Linked DNA regions of Struthio camelus. The protein of the gene in region 1 interacts with the protein of each later gene in a biochemical or structural test. Links are inferred from orthologs where the notes say so. Each region holds a gene or a part of one and is shown on either strand. Other genes may lie near its edges. The genes, in order: CD244 and SH2D1A.

The links.
Region 2: the proteins of CD244 (region 1) and SH2D1A interact in a biophysical measurement, tested with the Homo sapiens proteins (2 studies listed by IntAct). The link is inferred for Struthio camelus from reciprocal best matches to the Homo sapiens genes CD244 and SH2D1A.

The regions. Positions count from the first base shown.
Region 1 is NC_090971.1:5,239,808-5,248,673, forward strand, and holds the start of CD244 (natural killer cell receptor 2B4), read right to left. Parts: upstream 3,775-8,866; 5' UTR 3,672-3,774; coding exon 3,584-3,671; intron 1,302-3,583; coding exon 990-1,301; intron 919-989; coding exon 649-918; intron 399-648; coding exon 297-398; intron 114-296; coding exon 40-113; intron 1-39. UniProt on the Homo sapiens protein: Heterophilic receptor of the signaling lymphocytic activation molecule (SLAM) family; its ligand is CD48.
Region 2 is NC_090952.1:10,914,622-10,923,991, forward strand, and holds the start of SH2D1A (SH2 domain-containing protein 1A), read right to left. Parts: upstream 4,253-9,370; 5' UTR 4,142-4,252; intron 1-4,141.

The DNA.
Region 1 (8,866 bases):
CAGCACAGGGCAGGGGTGCCCAGAGGCCCCAGCACTCACGTGGTCACGGCTGCGCTGGGCATTGCCCACCTCCTCGTAGATGGTCAGCGGCTGCTCAGCATTTCCTGCTGGACCTTAAGCAATTAGAGCAAGAGGACTGCTGTTTTAGGGGCTCCAAACCCTGGGGGACTTGGCCCTTGGGAAACACTTGAGCAAAACAAATCAGATGGGAAGAGCGATCCTGATGGCAAATTGGAAGTTCTGTGTTGTCCCACATCAGCCCAAAAAGGAGAAGCAACCCCAGGACAGCTCCTCACCTCGCCTCCTCCGGCACCTCCAGGTGATGAGGGCTGCAGAGATGGCCAACACCAGTCCCAGGGCTGCAGCCAGCGCCCACCACAGCTCAGTGGGGAGCAACCCTGGGGAGAAACGAGGGCAGAAGAAATGGGGAAACCTTCGATATGGGGCAGAGCCCCTTCCAAAGCACGTTCTCCATCACACTGCCCCCAAATACCCTGCAGTGCGGGAAAGGGACCTGGCTGGTAAGAGCCAACAGCAGGGCTTGGGCAAGGGACTCTCTCCCTGGGTGTCCAAACCACACTGTGGGCAGGAAAAAACCCTTTGGCCAGGACCAAAATCCAGCCTTTCACACAGCCGAGGGCAAATCACCTGGGGGGCTGCACAGTGCTGCGACATCAGTGCTGGCCGTGGCCCAGCTCACAGCATTGCTGGCATTGCAGTGGTAGACGGTGTGGTTGGCGTCCTTTCGGAGCTGCAGCTGCAGGGAGGACTGGTGCCCCACGGCTCCGGCAGCGCTGGCACGGGACCAGCGGTAGGTGACGTTGTGGGTGCCGGGGACAGCACAGGCCAGCAAGAGGCTGCACAAGCTGTGCTCGCGGAGCACCACGCGCGCATCCAGCACCGGCTGGCCGACGGGCGCTGGAAGGACAGAGGCGGTGAGGGGGGCCGGGGCAACACCACGGTGGCAGCGCGGCCTCCAGACTACTCACCCAGCACTGACACACAGAAGCAGCTGGTAATCTCGAAGCTCGATGCGTTCTCAAAGTGTGCAGCGTAGACACCACTGTCTGCCTCCGTGACCAGGCTGATCTGCAGGGAGAGCGTCCCCCGATGGAAGATGGCTCGCTGGCTAAAACGACTAACTGGGGGCCGCTCTACGCTGCTGCTCTTAGCTGTCAGGATTCGGAGCCGCTCCCCTTTGTCCAGTCTCACTCTCCAGGTAATGCTTTCCCAGAGCAGTGATGGTTCCTCTGGCACCAGCCACAGCTCTCCTCCGACAGCTGCCACTATGTCCTTGCACCCTAGGGGTTCGCAAACAGTAGGAGAAAGAGCTGAGTGGGGGGATTAGGGAGCCAGGGCACCAGCAGAGGGTACACGGCCACCCGCTGTGGAGCAGGGCTGTGCCCCAGACCCGCAGGCTGGCTCCCCCGGTGCAGCCCCACACGCATCCCCCTGGGCAAGCTCAGCCCCACCATCTCTATCCCTTTTGTCCCATCCCAGGGGCACCCCTTGGCCCCAGAAAGGAGGTGGGGGCTTGCAACACCACTGGGAACAGGCTCCAGGCTCCTGCACAGTACCATCCCTAGCCAGTTGCTTATCTTTCACACCCTATCCTCTGCCCTCACAGTGCACGGATGTGCACGCAACATCCTCTCCTCCCTACCTGCCCCTTGCACTGCCCAGCTGTTGGGTTGCAGACCCTACAATAATACACTCAGGTGGCCCATTTGCACCCCAGCTCCTTCCCTACCAGCCCTGCCCAGGGAGGAGAGGGGCAGTTGCCTGCTGGACCACTGAGAAGCCATGAAGCCATGCTGAGCCTCCCCCACTTCTTTCACACCAGCCCCGGATGTCAAGGGCTCTGGCAGAGCTGAGATAAAAAACCCTTAAAATAAACCCAAGTGGCCACCCAGTCTGGGTGCGCACAGCCCTGTGGTTTTTCCTATCTGCACGCAGCTCCAAGTGAGCACCAGCCACCATGGGTGCCCAAGCTTTGCACAGCATGGCCACATACGCATGCATGCTGCGCATGCATGCTGCCTGTGCATGCCACCCATGCACACCCCCCCCGGCACAGCCCAGCTCATGCTGCCTCTCCAGGGAAAGCTCCAGCCTCCAGGAGCTCTGCTCAGCCCCAGCTTCCTGCAGCAGGCTGGGGCTTTGCACAGGAAAGAAGAAAGCCCAGAACAGGGCTCCCCCAGGAAAGGAAAGAGCTGGCCTAGCCCCCAGGAGCTGTTTATCGGCTTCTGGCCCTGATGGGTCACACCTGGGGCTGTTTCCCATCACTCCTGGCACCAGACTACCCTCGAGCAGGAGGAACTACAGCTGCTGCTTTTGGGGCTGTTTGGTGGTGTGAGCACCTTGAAGGCACTAGGAGCCGAGTCTCACTTGTTTAGTTGTCCTCCTCTCCCTTGGTAAATCCTCGCTTTCCTGGGGAACGCTCATCCTGGCTGTGCCTCCTCTAGCCTGGGCAGAGCCCTGGCCTCCTCTCTTTGCAAGAAGAGGAACCAAAGGGAAATTTGGAAGCAAAGCCTCAAAAGATATGTTATATCAGACGAATTTTATCCCAGCGCTCTTGGGGGATGTGTTGCCCCCAGGCGCTTGTGTGGCTCAGCAGGAGGCTCGACTGCCCTCTCCACCCTAGAAAACAGCTCAGGAGCACAAGTTTGTGGTGGAAAAAATCAAACCGGTCCTCCCTACAGGATGGGAAAGCAGGAGGGACAAAAGTAGCCCAGGTTTGTTGCACGGAGGCGATCATATGCTGGCTGGGGCTGGTCTCCAAGGTAGGAGTTTGCACCCTGTGAAGGGCCAAGCGTGGCGGCGAGCTGTGGCGCGTCCAGTGGGAGACCCCGGCCACCCGGCACCGTCAGCAAGGAGAGAGGCAGGTGCTGGGGCGTGGGCGTGCAAGTTCAGGGAAAAAATGACTCAAAATCTGCCCCGTGGTCCAAAGGTGTGATTGTAGCTCACTGTCTGCAGTTGGTACGAGCAGTGGGGCCGGTGCAGCACGGCTTAGGTTAACTGTGCCAGTCAGTGGGGAGGTTTTGCAGCTGGCGCTGAGCTGCCGGCCACTGCAGGCTCAGTCGCTCCAGCTTTGAGCTGAAATCACAGGCAAAAGGTGCTGAGTTTGTTCAGCAGAGAAAACTAGCTTTGAAAAGCTGCATTTCTGGGAAGGTCTGGACAGAATGCAGCTCTTGGGCGCTGCTCCAGGAGGAAGAAAGCTTATTTCGAGCAAACCCTGGGCCCTGCACCCAGCAGGCAGCAGCGCTGCCTGCAAAGGGGAACCAGCGCCCTGGGACAGTCTGGGCCATGTTTACCTGGCTGGGTGCAGAGAGACAGCGCGCCACAGGCCAAAAACCCTCCTCAGCACTAGCTTTGTTGTCCTGCGGCTGCTGCTTCCCACTGGGCATCCGTCCCTGTGAGCGCCTTGAGCCACCCAGCCAGCTCTGCCCACACGTCCCTGCTCCACTGCCCAGCCAGAGCCTCCCATCCTGGCTGCAGGGACAAGCCGGTTTGTCCCTGGTGCCGCAGTGAGCCCCGTTTTGCAGCCTAGCTCACGTGCATCATGCCCCTTCCTCCTCCTCACCTTCCCCAGCGGCGGCAAGCAGCATGAAGCAGAGCAGCACTTGCTGGGGCAGTGCTGGCTGGTGGCACCTGGCGCCTGGCAGCTCCATGCTCCACGCCGGCAGCGAGCAGGCTTCCTGCAGTGGGGCAGGCGGCGAGATGAGAAGCTCCTCCGAGACGGCGACAGTCCGTCAATAGCTTCCTCTGTCCCCTGTGGTTTCTGCGCACCCCTTGTGCTCATGCAACATCCTCCACGTGGTGGAACAAATGGTTTGGGGGGGAGGCTTGCGTTTTTGGGGGGGGGGGGCTGTTCCTTTACTGCTCAGCTTTGGGAGGAGGAGGAGTGATGCTCTCAAGGCTGCAGCAGGCTTTTATGATTTGTGAACCGCAGCTGCGTCAAGCATCCCAAAGTCAGGCCCCAAAAAAAGCCCTGCAGTGACCTGCATTTGTAGGCTTCCAAACAGCCCCAAAGTGGAAGTGACTTCCGAGCATCTCCCCTATGCCCATGGGGCTGCAGTGTCACCCTGCAAATGGGAAAGAGCTAGGACAACCCTATCACGGGATAAGGCTTAGCACAATTTGGCTCTTCAAAGCCCAGCGTCCCAGACAAAGCCCCCACGGGTAATGGGCGGATGCTGCACCCAGCCGGGGGTTTCTATAGCGCAGGACCTGCTCCTTGGTCAGCATCCCCCTGTGAGCTGCATCCCTCCGCTCTCCTCCTCCCCGTTGCCCAGATCTCCCTCACTCCTGCCCAGCTTTGCACATCCCAGGTGGAAAGGCTGGGGCAGGGGGGCTTTTGGAGCTGGAAGAGCATCTAACCCCGTGCAGTACTCCCCAAATCAGCATCTCCCCCGCTGGGGGGGCTGCACAGGGCCGGGCAGCCTCGGGGCTCCCAGGATCAGACCTCAGGCCAGCAGTATTCGCCCACAGCTGCATCATGTCTCACTGCAAGCTTATTCCCTTTCCTGTTCAGAGAACAGTTGCTCCCGCAGCACGGCGAGCTGTGTCCAGTCTCTGCACCGGGTGCTCGGGCTGGGCTGGGCTGGGCAGGGCAGCTCATTAGAAACTGCTTTTAAAAGCTTTTCTCAGGTAGCCTTTCTGGTGTGGTTTACTTTCTCATGCAAACTAGTACAAAGAGTTTGTTGCAGGGTCAGAAAAAGCCTCATGGCAAGGAGAAAAACCCCAAGCAGCCAAAGCTGAAACCAAACTCTGCTTTCTGAATGCTGGAAAGTTTCACTGCAATAGTTCAACTGGGCCATTAAGAAGGAGTAATTTTGAAAAAATATATATGTATATTTAAGAAAACGCTGCAAACCTGGGAAAAAGTATTCTGTTCATAACACTTTAACTTGCTCTAGGAGCCACGGGAGGGCTCCTGGAGGGTAGTGAGTGAGATCTAAGTTGAAGTTTCTTTTCCGCCTCTGGAAAACGTAATTCTCTTTATATTAGCCTTTGATTACAAAAATACTTTAGGAGAAAATAACTCAGAATTGTTATTTGGGAATAAGTATTTCCCACCAGCCCAGAGGGAAGGGGAAGGAGGAGGTGAGTTGCAAGGGGAACGTGTGCAAGCCGGTGAGCTGAGACATGGCTGTCAGGGCGCTGCCGGGGGGTGTTCAGCCCCTCACCGCAGCTTTGACTCTCTCCCTCTATACCTGGGATTTTGGGGCACAGTGCCACCGAAGGCCAGGCATCCCCCGAGTCCCTGCTGCCCCAGGAAGCCTCCTTCCCAGCAGGATGATCCTGCTGCGGAATAGTGAGGCTGAAGGAAGGAGGAGCGTGGAGGGCCAGCAGGAGTGCGCAGCCCGGCACGAGCCCCTGAGCTGATCCGCCACCGTCTGCTCCTGCCCTGCAATCCCCTCGACGCTGCTAATCACCTTAGGGGCTTGGCTCTAAGCCTATTGCCCTGTCATCTGCTCAGCCCTGCCTGGCAGCTCCCAGCTGGGAAATGGCCGCTTTGGGCTGGAGAAGCCCCTCCGGCAAGGGTGCAGTGGGGGAAACTGAGGAACGAAGCCAGGTTTCGCTCAGGAGCGGCTTGCTTTCTGGGCAGCAACCAGCCCCGACCAGGAGCTATTTCCAGCCTTTGCGGGAAGGGCTTTGCAGAGGGGCTCTGTAAATGGACAGAAAGGGAACAATTTCCCGTTAAAGTCTTCGGAAGATGCTGCAGCAGCAGTTGGGCTCTGGGTGAGCAGAGGGACGCAGGTCAGCTCCGTCCCTCCAGCAGCTGCTCTGTCAACACCAGAGCTGGTTTTCTGAGGCGAAGGGCGAGCAGAAACTAAAGCAGAAATGAGCAGAAACTGAACAGAAAGTATTCTCACTGAAATTCGTACTTGGGATGGGAATATATTCCCTGCCGCGTCCACCTCCTCAAGGGAGAAACCCCAGCGCATTACCTGCCCTGCGCCGACACATGAATTGCCCTGATTTCTCCCCTGGGGCGGAAAGACACACTAATTATTCGTCAGCAGTGCTGGTACCTCGTTGTTAATCGTTCACGTTTCAGGGTAGTTTCCCATCTACAATCACTCCCTTGTGTGCACCAGGGGAGAGGCCAGGCTTGGGCTCGGCGTTTCCCCATGGCGGCCGTTTCGGGGTGTCACGTGGCAGGATCCAGTGGTGATTTTGGTCTTGTGGCCAGCACTTGCCACGATATGGGGTGAAAAGCTGACGTTTGGGGTCCCCCTTGCAGAGCCCACAGACATGCTGCGGCCAGAGCGGGGGGAACAGCTTGGGCCCCTCCAGCAGTGGGGAACTGAGGCATGGTGCATCCCTGCGGAGCCGGCTGCAGCAGGTCCCAGTGGGACAGGGCTGTGCAGGCTCCTCTGGCCCCTTCCACCACTTGTGGGCAGAGGAGCAAAAACTCATTAAGGCTACAAAGGAAAAGCAGCACTTTGCAAGGTGGAAAACCTCCACTCAGAGCATGGGCTGAGCCGATTAATTAGCGCTTTTGTCCGCGGCTCAGTTCAACACACAGGGAACAATTTCCATTAAGGGGAGCTTCCCTCTGCCAGGCGCTCTTTCAGCTGCTGGCCCGGGGAGTGGAGCCATGGCAGAGGAGGGAAAGAAAAGGAGGGAGGAAGAAAACAGGAAGGGAATGAAAGGGAAGCGTTTGCCACGTTTCGCAGACCACACTGAGGAGGAAGGGAAGATGCTGCATGCTTGAAGCACCGCATTGCAGAGGCGAGGGTGTTTTTATTCAGCGCATCAGCTGTGCTTTCTCGTTCCCCTTCCAGCTAAATTTGGCCCCCAAGAGGTGAAAGCAAGGAGGGCTCCCGCGGGCCAGGGTTTCTGCACAGGCAGAGCTGCTCGTGTGGCGGCATGCTTGGCCCAGGGACACGTGGCCGCTTCCCCAGCTCCGACGCCTTCCCGGGGCCCTTCCTGACCTAGGGGCCGGGAAAATGGCCAGCGCATCTGAACCGCTCCTGCTCGGGCATCCCCCACGACCACCGCCGGGCCAGCTGGGAGCTGCTGGGAGTGGCGAAGGTGACGGCCGATGCACGCCAGGGAGCAGGCTCCCGCAAACTTGCACCACCCTTGCATGGGGCTTTCACCCCCAGGTCCAAGCCACCACCCTTCCCCTTTGCAAACAGCAAAAGCAAACGCAGGGATCTGGGTGCCTCCTGTTCGAATCCGCTTTCCGCAGGCCAAGCAATGAAACAGGCTGGTTGTGCAGCCCCTTCCCACCCCGTCCAGCATCCGCTTCAGTTCTTAACTGAGAGATTGGAGGCAAAATATCCTGCCAGCCCCGGAGCTCGGCTCTGCCCAAGAGGTGGCAGCATGCACCCACGCTCCGTCCCGGCCGGAGCTGTGCTGCCAGGGCCAGGGCCCAGCTTGGGCCTGGGTCTCCCCACCATAATGTCCCCCAGATCCCTCTAGTGCTGCACCCACCCCTGCACCAAGCACACGGCAGTGTCTGGGCTCAGTGCGGGACTTCTCTCCGGTGGGAACGTCATCGGTTGCGTGTTCATGGCCCCGAATCTGGCGCGAGATAATAATTGAACGTCTCATAAAAAATTATGTAGTTTATAATAAGTGAATTATTTACTGGTGACCCTGACTAAATGCTGCGTGGTATAAATTATTGAGTGGTAGATCCGTCAAAAAGTTCTCATAAATAAGTTATCTGGTGCCGTCTTAATGTTCCCAGTAAATTACTCATTCAATCTCCCATCTAAATGCTCTCCTGGGGAAATTACTCGCTCCTGCTGATTTATGAATTAGGACTGGGCAAATAAGGATGATTAGGAAGGGGAGCCCTGTTGGGACGCTGCTTCGGCGGGACGCCTCGCCCTGACACGCGGACGCCAGCACAGGGTGCTCACCTGCCAGCCAGGGGCCATGGGCAGGTTGTGCCTGCAACCCTCAGGCCAGTGGGGACAAGTTCAGGTGCCGCCACTATTTCCCTTTGCTGGAGGGACTCAGAGTGGCTCGCTGCGGCGGGATGGCGTTTACCTCCTGGCCGCCCTCTGTGGCCACCCCGGGTGGCTGTGGGCTTGTCACCTGTGTTTTATTGGCGGCCAAGTATTGCACGCTGTACTAGTTGTGTGTTTTATTGCCTCTATAATCACCACCCTGCAAACAGGCGTTGCCAGCTCCCCACCAAGTTAAATCCTCCCTTCCGAGGACTCCTGCAATTTGGCACCGTCCTGTGTTTCACCGGAGACATGTTACCAGCACTGTGACTCACCCGGGGACCAGGGCGGCTCTCGCCAGCCCGATTTCTTCCCCCTCGCAGACCCGCTGGGGACAAAGGGAGGGTAACTCAGGGCAGGGGGAGCACCGGACCCGCAGCTGGCAGCTCCCTAGCGCCACCACTGCAGCCGCTTCCAGTGAATCTCTTTCCTCTGTCTCGTTTCCAGGAGCAGAGCTGATTAAAATAATACATTAACTATGCCTCAAACTCGCGGAATAACATGATGAAAAAGCGAGTTCCCCGTGATGAGATGCTGCCTGCAAAGGAGGCAATTAAATCAATCTTGGAGGCCAGCGAGTTTGCAGGGGGAAGAGAGGTAAACTCGCGTGAGCCAGCGCGGGGTTAATGGGAGGAGATCAGGACGGCTTAAGGGACGTTCAGCCGAGTTGTCTTGTGGGCAGCTCAGCGCAGTTGGGGCACCCAGCAGGGCCAGGCAGGCGGTCCGCAGGGGGACATGCGCTCCGTCCCCATGAGGAGTTTTGCCGGCCGCTGCCGGGGCTGCTCCTTAATCCACCGCAGCCCCGAGGCGGCCGGCTTAGCGCAAGCCGCTTTCGGGGCCACTTTGGTTAAGCTGCTGTGTTTTGGAGCGATGCTGGTGAAGGTGGCCCGCAC
Region 2 (9,370 bases), on another chromosome or scaffold:
CAGCTTTAGCTGTGTCCGCGAGCTGAATCCCACAAGGTCCTGCACTGCTCGGGTGGGTTTCTGTGTCCTTTGGTGAGGGTGAGAGGTGGGATGGGTCTCCCGTTTCAGAGCTGATCTTGCACACACTGCCTTCTGGCGATGCACTGGCTGCTCTGTGGGAAGCCGCTGCTGCTCCTAATTAAATAGCACATACCCATTTCTGCTCATCAGCCTGACAGCGGAAAGCCCTTCTCCCTGCCTCAGGTGCTAGAGTTGCTGCTGGTATGAGACAACATAAATTGCAGCTTGAACGTGGCAGATCAGGAGCATGTTTATTGTCATTAGAAGGCTTTAAAATCACTTTAGAATTGAAAGGAAAAAAAATCTACCATAAAAGATCTGGCTATGGCTGTAAAAGGGTGAAAACACGTGGCCAAGCAAAGAGGAACTCAACACAAGGTTGCTCTGGGACTACTTGTGATGCTCGACCATCATGCGGGCCCTTGGGAAGAGAGGCATAGGCTGGCACCACTCGGCAGTTGAGTTTTAAAGTGGTGTCAGATTAAGCAGCAAGGCTTTGAAATACTGCCTGTTCCTTGGACAAGTTTTAAGCATATTTCTGTAATGTAGGATCAAAGTATTTGAGGCCTGCAGACAGGATGAACTACTGAAACTTTAGACACTCTCCCCCTAGAAGGTTCTAAGATCTGAGCCATTAATAAATATTAATACATGAATAGTTTGTTACATGACCACAAAGTGAGTAGACTACACACATTTTCATATATATATATATATGTATATGCATCAGTTTTGTGAGTTACAATACCATTCAACAAGGGAGTGCCCAACTTTTCTGACATTGCTAAAGTTCAGTCTACCCTGAGGGCATTTCAGTTGCAAAGGCATCAAATAGTCATTGGGTAAAAAGTAAGTAAGTAATTTTTGGGGGGGAAAAAAGGAAAAAAAAAAAAAAAAAAGCAGAACTCAGGCTGCCTTTCTCCCAGGAACTGCCTAAACCTGCCAGAGTTTAGGTTGTCCCCTTCTCACACAAGGAACCTTATTCTTTTCTAATCTTATTTCTTCCTGTCTGTTACCATGGCTGAAAGGGGAGCATGGAAAATGCTCGTGCTTTGAGGAGCCCAGAGTCTGACGATGAGGGCGTTCTCCAAAGACAGGAGACGTGAAATTGAGTCCTCTCAGGCAGAAAAAAAGTGATTGCATCTGGGTGTCTCCCACCTTTGATAGTGATTATTGTGAGATCCCCTGGGATTATTGTGCCAAGGTAATGACACCAGTTTTTTCTTTCAGAAGAAAGCTATATCCTTTACTGTACTTCTACCCAATCTCTCTTGACGATGAATACTTTTTGACTTTTTTTCCACTTGATGGACGCTTAAGCATTTTCGAGCTGAAGCACAGACCAACATGCAGTGAACCCAAACGACCATTTGATTTGCCTTTCACAGAAACTTGGGAAGAGAAGGCAAAGTAGAAAACGTGCCGCAGGAAGGCGATGAAAATCTGGAGCAAAGACATTGACGTCAAGAGCTCTTTCAGCTGATGCAGAGAAACAAGAGAAACCTCTCCCCAGGGTGTACGGGTCAGCCTCTCATCGTGTCAGCACCGCTCACAGGAGTCCTCTCCAGCGGCACCGTGCCACCCGCTTTGCCTCATGCTCTGGGCTGGCCTCCAGCAGCCATTCGCCCTTAACAAGGATGGGAGCAGGGGAACTTGGGCGTTGGAGTGCACTAGGCTCCAAAAAACACATCCCAAGGAATAAACAATATTCCTGCTGAAGCAGCCTTGACCAGCACTGCAGGAAGGGCTGTGTTTTATGACAAAAACAGCAAGCAGAACAGAATAGTCAGGAAAGCCCATGAGACTTCAAGGGAGAGAAGTGACCCCATTATAATCCCAGGTCAAAACCCATCAGCCTCACACCCGCCTAACAGAGACTCAACAGTTCTGCTATAACAGAATCACAGAATCACAGAATCGTTTAGGTTGGCAGGGACCTCTGGAGATCATCTAGTCCAACCTCCCTGCTCAAGCAGGGTCACCTAGAGCATATTTCCCAGGATCACGTCCAGACAGCTTTTGAATATCTCCAGCGAAGGAGACTCCACCGCCTCTCTGGGCAACCTGTTCCAATGCTCTGTCACCCTCACAGTGAAGAAGTTTTTCCTCAGGTTCAGGTGGAACTTCCTGTGGTTCAGTTTCTGCCCGTTGCCTCTTGTCCTGTTGCTGGGCACCACGGAGAAGAGATTGGCCTCATCCTCTTGACACTCCCCCTTCAGATACTTGCACACGTTGATGAGATCCCCTCTCAGTCTTCTCTTCTCCAGGCTGAACAGGCCCAGCTCTTGCAGTCTTTCTTCAGAGGAGAGGTGCTCCAGCCCTCTAATCATCTTGGTAGCCCTCCGCTGGACTCTCTCCAGGAGTGCCATGTCTCTCTTGGACTGGGGAGCCCAGAACTGGGCACAGTACTCCAGGTGAGGCCTCACCAGGGCTGAGTAGAGGGGCAGGATCACCTCCCTCGACCTGCTGGCAACACTCTGCCTAATGCACCCCAGGAGACCATTGGCCTTCTTGGCCACAAGGGCACGCTGCTGGCTCATGTTTAACTTGTTGTCCACCAGCACTCCCAGGTCCTTCTCGGCAGAGCTACTTTCCAACAGGTCAACCCCCAGCCTGTACTGGTGCATGGGATTATTCCTGCCTAGGTGCAGGACCTTGCACTTGCCTTTGTTGAACTTCATGAGGTTCCTCTCCGCCCAGCTCTCCAGCCTGTCCAGGTCCCTCTGAATGGCAGCACAGTCTTCTGGTGTGTTAGCCTCTCCCCCCAGCTTAGTATCATCAGCAAACTTGCTGAACATTTCATTCTGAAACATTAGCCTCAGATAAAGGTATTTCTCAGTACGAATTGTGAAGTATTATTTCATGTTTAATTGCATTGATTTGCATTGGAAGCTTTAAACATCTGCCCAACGATTATCTTAAATTAATACGTCACCCAGAATACAATAAACCATTCTTGACGTCAGTGCCTACAAGGAGGTGATTCTCCTACATTAGAGGAACTGGAAGAAAATAAGAAAAATATCCTTAAAATGCCAGCATGTGTGTCCAGGCTGCTGCACTTAAACAGGGGGAAAATTACACAAGTAGAATTACCACTAAAGTAGAAAAAAGACTTTGGAGAGCAAAGATGCACATGGTGCTCATGCAGGGACGCACGTTCTTATGGTGGTGACCTCCAGCACCACCGTCCCAGCTGGCTCGCGGCCACGTGGCATTGTGGGCTGCCCCAGCCGGCAGCACAGCCCGAGCATGCCTTTTCCTCAGGGCTGAGCACCAAGTGCTGGGGGCACGGTGGGGCAGTGGCGGTGGTGGCTTGTTTTACTGCTGACAGCATTAAGACCTGCTGCGTTTCTGGGCTGTTGCTCCTCCTTCCATTGTATCCCGATGAAAACAACGTTTTCACTTACAAAGAGAACGTCAGCAAATATTTTTAATAACTAAACTTCATACTTTCCCTATCCTTGTTCTTAAAAAAAAAAAAAAAAGAAGAAGTCTAACCATTGAAAAACAAAAAAACAGCTAAAGGCATGGAAAATTTTGGATGAAGCAATTATGCTCTGATAAAGCTACAAGACACCATTATAAGCAGACAGCAACGCAAGGCAGCATTATAATGAGAATTGCTGAGCAATCATATTAATCAGCAGGGCTACCAGCTCGCCTCTTAGCAGCCGGGCCGTCTCGCAAAGGGGATGGCACATCGTGAATCCTCCGCAGAGACGCAGAGGAGATGAAAATGATGCGTGCCCTGGGCCCCCGAAATCCCCGCGAGGGGGAGAAGGCTGAAGCAAAGGAGAGCGATAACGGGATTTGAGTGTTCTGCGCTCCTTTGACAGCAAGGCGCTGCAGCGCATTTTATCTTTGTGAGGTCTTGCAGCAGTCGAGAGCTTTACAGCTCAAATCCCAGAGAGCAGACATTATATAATGCTTAGCTGGCAGCATCTTGCTGGATTTTACTACCACTGCAAAACTTCCCCCCGCACCGGTTTCAGCGCGATGGTCTTTATTTTGCCAAAAAGTGATTTTGAAACATACGCCGTGGTTTTCAGGGGCAGGATGAAAGAAGGCTCTGACTCACAGCGGTGTTCTCTGGTGGCGTTTCAAGGGTTGTCCTCCCAACGAGGAAAAGGTACGTCACCTCGTCGCAGCACGGCCCTGGCAGGAAGCACCTTGCCTGGAGGAACAACAGGAGCAAAGGGCCTCTCACCTCTTCGCCGCTGCCGTCGCCTGAGGAAGCGTTTAGACTAAGCCACCGACCCAGCAGCTCTCGAGGGTACTTGGCGGGAGCTGCTGCCCTTGCGCCGGTGAAGCAGGCCTGGCTGCGACTGGGGACGACTGCGGCTCCAAGGCTGGAGCCCACGTCCCCGCGCACGCGGCCTTTCCCCCTCTCCCAGGGAGCCCGTAGCCCTTTACGGTGCACAAATCACTTGATGCTTCTAGATTTCTATTTTACTGAGCTGTTCAGCCCAGGAAAACACACCGTTTCCCCGAAAGGCAGGTTGCAAAATAGAGCTGCGTTGCATAATGTAACTGGGGAAGCAAAGAAAAGGAACATCTTCCACCGGGCTGGGGCCTCCTTCCTTTCCCACAACACACATTTCAGCCCAGAGCCTTTCATATAAAATATCATCAAATAATTTACAGTAGATGTCAGCTGCAAGCTACAGCCAAAGAGAAGGTTTATTTAAGATACCATGTGGATTGTTGTACAAGATCCTGATGGATTATTTCTATCCGAGAATTTACAGATACTGCCGGAGTGTGGCCAACAATTTGGATTAGTTTAGATTAAACTCAGACTGGGTTGTTTCTTCTCCCTAAGGAAATCTCAGCTTTAGGTCTACTTTTTTTTTTTTTTAAAAGGAAAAATATAGACAAAAACAACTTTTATGCTTTCCAGCAGGTACCTACAGTGCTTCTTCCATCAATCACACCTTTGATATATGGAGGCAGAAGTGAGAGTTACTTCATTTAAAGCTCTCACACATAACTGGGTACATTTACATATTAATCAGACAGCTGAGATGCTAATCTCGCTATCTTATGGGCATCTGTAACCATTAGTCAAAGTCCGGGCGCCTGTTAAATACTCCGGGTGCCACAGAGCGCTCTGAAATCAAGATAAGCGCTGGTGACGAGAAAAGGCTCATATTTACAGTGCTCCTGCGGAGCGCGGGGCTGTTAGCTCTGCAAACACGAATATACGCAGATATCGAACCTCGAGAGCCTTCCCCCGGCACGAGCCTCAGGCAAGGCGACGCAATCCTACCTCGCTAAAGGGCTTAGCGCTTCCTCGGGAGGACGGTGTCTGCAGCTCAGTCTTCTCCAGGCTCTTCCCTGGCCTTTCCGCGGCACGGGGCACCCTCCGGCGCGGCACGCCGGGAGCGCCTGCCACGGCCCGGCGGGGCCGCGCGCTCGACGACCCGGCCCTTTCTGCTGGGCTAAGACCCGAGCCCGCGTTCCTCACCGCCTCGTGCTTCTGAAACACCGTTTCATGAGCCTGGCACGCGCGCCCAAGGTCAGGCGGCTCCCACAGCCCCTCGCCACCTTTTGTCTCTTTTTCTTTTCTTGTCATTTATTTATTTATTTAGTTATTTTGAAAATACAGGCTCATCAATACCAAAACTAGAAAACTCTGCAGTAACGTGCCACCCTTAACGAAACCCAGGCAGGAAATGTGGTAAAAGACGCTTGCACTAGTCTGAGCCAAGGGGCCAAGCGGGTACCGAGGTGCCGGAGCCTTTCCCCATTTCCCCAGGCCGAACAGAAATTGCTGCGTGGCCCCGTTCGAGGGGGAGGAACCAGCGTTTATTCCCTTTGCCGCAGCAAGGGAGGAAACCGAGGAGGAGAAGCAGCTTCCTCCCCGCGGGCCAGCGAGACGCCCCAGGGCCCAGGAGGCTGGCGGCTCCCGGCGGACACGGCCGGAGCAGCCCCGCGCAGGACGTTTTGCAGTTACATTTGGTGGGGAAGGAAAGCCACCTCCTCAGCTGCTCCCGTAACAGCTACCGAAGCGACCAGCTCGGGCTGGCTGCAGCGGAGAAGGTGCCGGCTCCAGTCGGAGCTGCTGCTCGCTGCGGCGCAGGCAACGCGCGGCAGGCGTCCCAGGCAACCGCACGCGAGCTGTTGCCTTTTTTATTTTTTTGGCTTTACCTGTTAACTTTCCGGGTTATAAGTTTGCGAATCAACAGGCTCAACGCCCCAGCTCCCCCCCTCAGCCACCTCGCAAACGGCTTGGGAGTCTGACTCGTATCAGACCGCCTCGCTCAACTACGTCCTCGCCCTCCGACGAGGGCGGGCGGCGTGGCGAGAGGAAACCCGGCGGGCAGAGGGCTCTGCGCGGTGCCCGGCTCCACGCCGCCTGCCCCTTCGCCTGCCCCGGGCCGCACGACCCCCGCCAGCCGCTGCCGGGTCGAACGCTGCACGTCAGTTACACACCGACAGCCACAGGCTGCAACAAAAAACATAAACATATAATAATTGCTCCTGCTGAGGAAGTCACCTGTGGTGCCGTTTCCTTTTTGCAGAACCGTCACAGTTTACGCTTCCTGAGCTTCAATTAAACAAAGGGAAAAATAGGGCGGGCGGCTGGGGCGGCGCCGCGCCACAACGCGCTGACGCGCCTTGGTTCGCGCTGCAGCTTTGTATTTGTTGCTTTCCCCGGGCTAAACGGGGGGCAAGCTCGGCGCTAACCCCCGCGGCGTCGGCGCGGCTTTCCCTCTCCCATGAGCGAGCGGCCGCGGCGGCGATGGCGGCGCGGTCCCGGCCCGGCTGCACAGGCGGCCGCGCAGCGGGCCACCCCGCCTGCCCCGGCCCCCGTCTTGCCGAAACGGGGAACCTGCTCGGCCCGGCAGCGTCGCCTGCTTGCAGCGCGTTTGCGAGTCACCCCTGCAACAGCAAGGACCGGCGCAGGCCGCCGCGGTTTTTCCAAGGGGGATGAGGGCCAGGAAGAGATTAAGGGGCGACGGAGTGGGAGAAGAGGGAGAATTCAAAGCTTTTACAAAAGAACGTGCCTTTTAGAAAGCAAGCGTCAGACTAAAATTAAAACCAAGCAGCAGGCCACGTAATTCCCAGCCCTGTGGCCAGGGAGAAGAGCAGGCTCAGTGGTAAGTCTCAGGCTCACAAGGAGGCTACTTTCAAAATATTCTTAAATATCGAATCATTAGGAAAGTCTTTTTTTTTTTTTTTTTTTTTAACAGGGAGGCACCTGAACGCCAAGCAGTGGCAGGCTGGGTTTAGGTTTTTCATTGGAGAGAGCGATTTAGGCACCTCCATCTCCCGCTGCAGGCCAAATAGCAAGACACGCAGTCGGAAGACCCTCCCCACCACAGGTTTCGGTCCCACTTCTTTGCCAAAACCTGGCTCTGTGTGCCCAAACCTCCCTCCTGCGCCCTGCCCGTGGTGCCGCCGAAGTGGGGGAGAGCCGGCGGCACGTGGTGGTATGTTCGTCCCCAGGCTCCCGTTCACAGCTGTTACCTCGCTGGGTGTTTCGCGCGGCGGCGAGCGTCTGCGCGCGGGAGAGGAGCCAGCAGAGCGCCGGGCGCCCGGCCGGGGACGTCGCCCGCGCACAGCAGCCAAGCGCTCCAGGAGACGCGCGAAGCGGCCAGATCCTGCTCAAGCGTCGAGAGCAAACAAAACTCGGTCCCGGGGAGCGACTGCTATCGTTACAAGGCTCTCGCCTGTAACGCCTGCATCGCCTCCGCTCCCGATCTCGCCGTCAGGCCACGGCGAACGGGATCCACTAACAGCCAAGACTGGCCAGCTTCATCTCCTAGAGCAATTCATTCAGGAAGTGCAAATAGAGTGAGATTTGCTGTTTGAAATGCCATCCGGTGGTTGAACGGATGTTGACATAGCCACGGCGTCCCCAGCCATTTACTCGTTCCCTGGCACGCGCTAAAGAGTAAAATTCACTCTCATTTAAACCACAGAGCGCTTATACAGCATTACAACAGGCAATGGCTCGTATACTCTTACCATACTCGCCGAACCCTTGCTCTTACCGTGATCACTAATCGAAGGTTTACCCAGTTTCCACGGCCTCTGTCATCACTGCCACTCACTCGTTTGAAACGCTTGTTTTAAAGTCACAATTCGTTAAGAGACCAGCTGGATTTCTCAAGCAAGATTTGATGCAGCTTGTATCTTGTTTGCCCAATGACTTGGTCACTTTGCTCTTAAGGCTGTGCAGGTCCTCTGGCCTCCCCGGGGCACAGGGCTGTGCACACAGCAGACAGGTTGTGGGGTGAGTGTCCTTAATGGATAAATCAACCTAGAAACACAAGACAAAGCGACTTCTTGGGTCACTGCAGCATCGCTCCGCTTCCGTCGAGGGTGCCACGACGCCGGGTTGGAAGGGAGGGCTTAGGCAGGGCCACCTGGCAGGAGGCAGCCCGCCAAGGCACTGCTTGGCTGGCCCAAAACCTGCAGGGAGAGCCCCAGGGCGGGAAGTCGGGCAGCCCGGCGTGGGGCTGCACACCCTGTTCTTGGCATTGGTTTTTAAAAATTAGCTGTGCAATTTGCTTTTGGCTTTTAGCGTTTACCTCTCCCAAGAGCACGTGAAAGATAAGCACAGCAAGAGTGGAACAGGGTAAAACCTCCAGCTTCTGTTGTTGCTAAACCACTGAAAGAAGGGCACGTTTCTCAAGCAAATGCCGAGAAGGACATCTTTGCTACTTCCTTCGGATGCCGCGATCTTACGCGTTGTTCTCGGGAACGGCTGGTTAAGCAGGGGAGGAACGCGCGGTTCTGTAAGAACATCCATTTCATATGTGAGCTATCAACAAATAAAAAAAATACACAAAGACTTTACACATGACATCCCAACTTTCTCAGGCAAACCCCTAGCCAGAAGTTTGGGCCTTTGCTGTGGTTCAGTCATTTGGCTCAAGCAGCGGAAACAAGCTGCCTGAAGACAAGCCTTGTTTCTGTCTTTGCTGCCTCACGGGAATAGGTTATACTGGCACCTTAGCATAAAACCCAAGTTCGCAACGAGCAGTCGCTGTGGTTTTATCGTGGGGTAAAGCAAGCGTGGTCGCCGGCAGACCAAAGGCTCGCTCTCGGTCCTGCTTGCCAGCCTCGCGGCAAGGCTCAGCACAACGCATCTCCACCGGGATCGTCCAGCGGGGAATTCACCTGCCTTTCCCACCCCACTCCGCAAAGCCCTCCCTCCCGCGCAGCAAGAGGGCAGCCCGGCCCCCCGAGCCAGGCGGGACCCCAGGGGCCGGGGCAGCACGCACCCTCGGCCGCAGCCCTGGCGGTCAGCGCTGCCTTTTCGCGCCCAAGAGAGAAACGCTCCATTTACATTTCA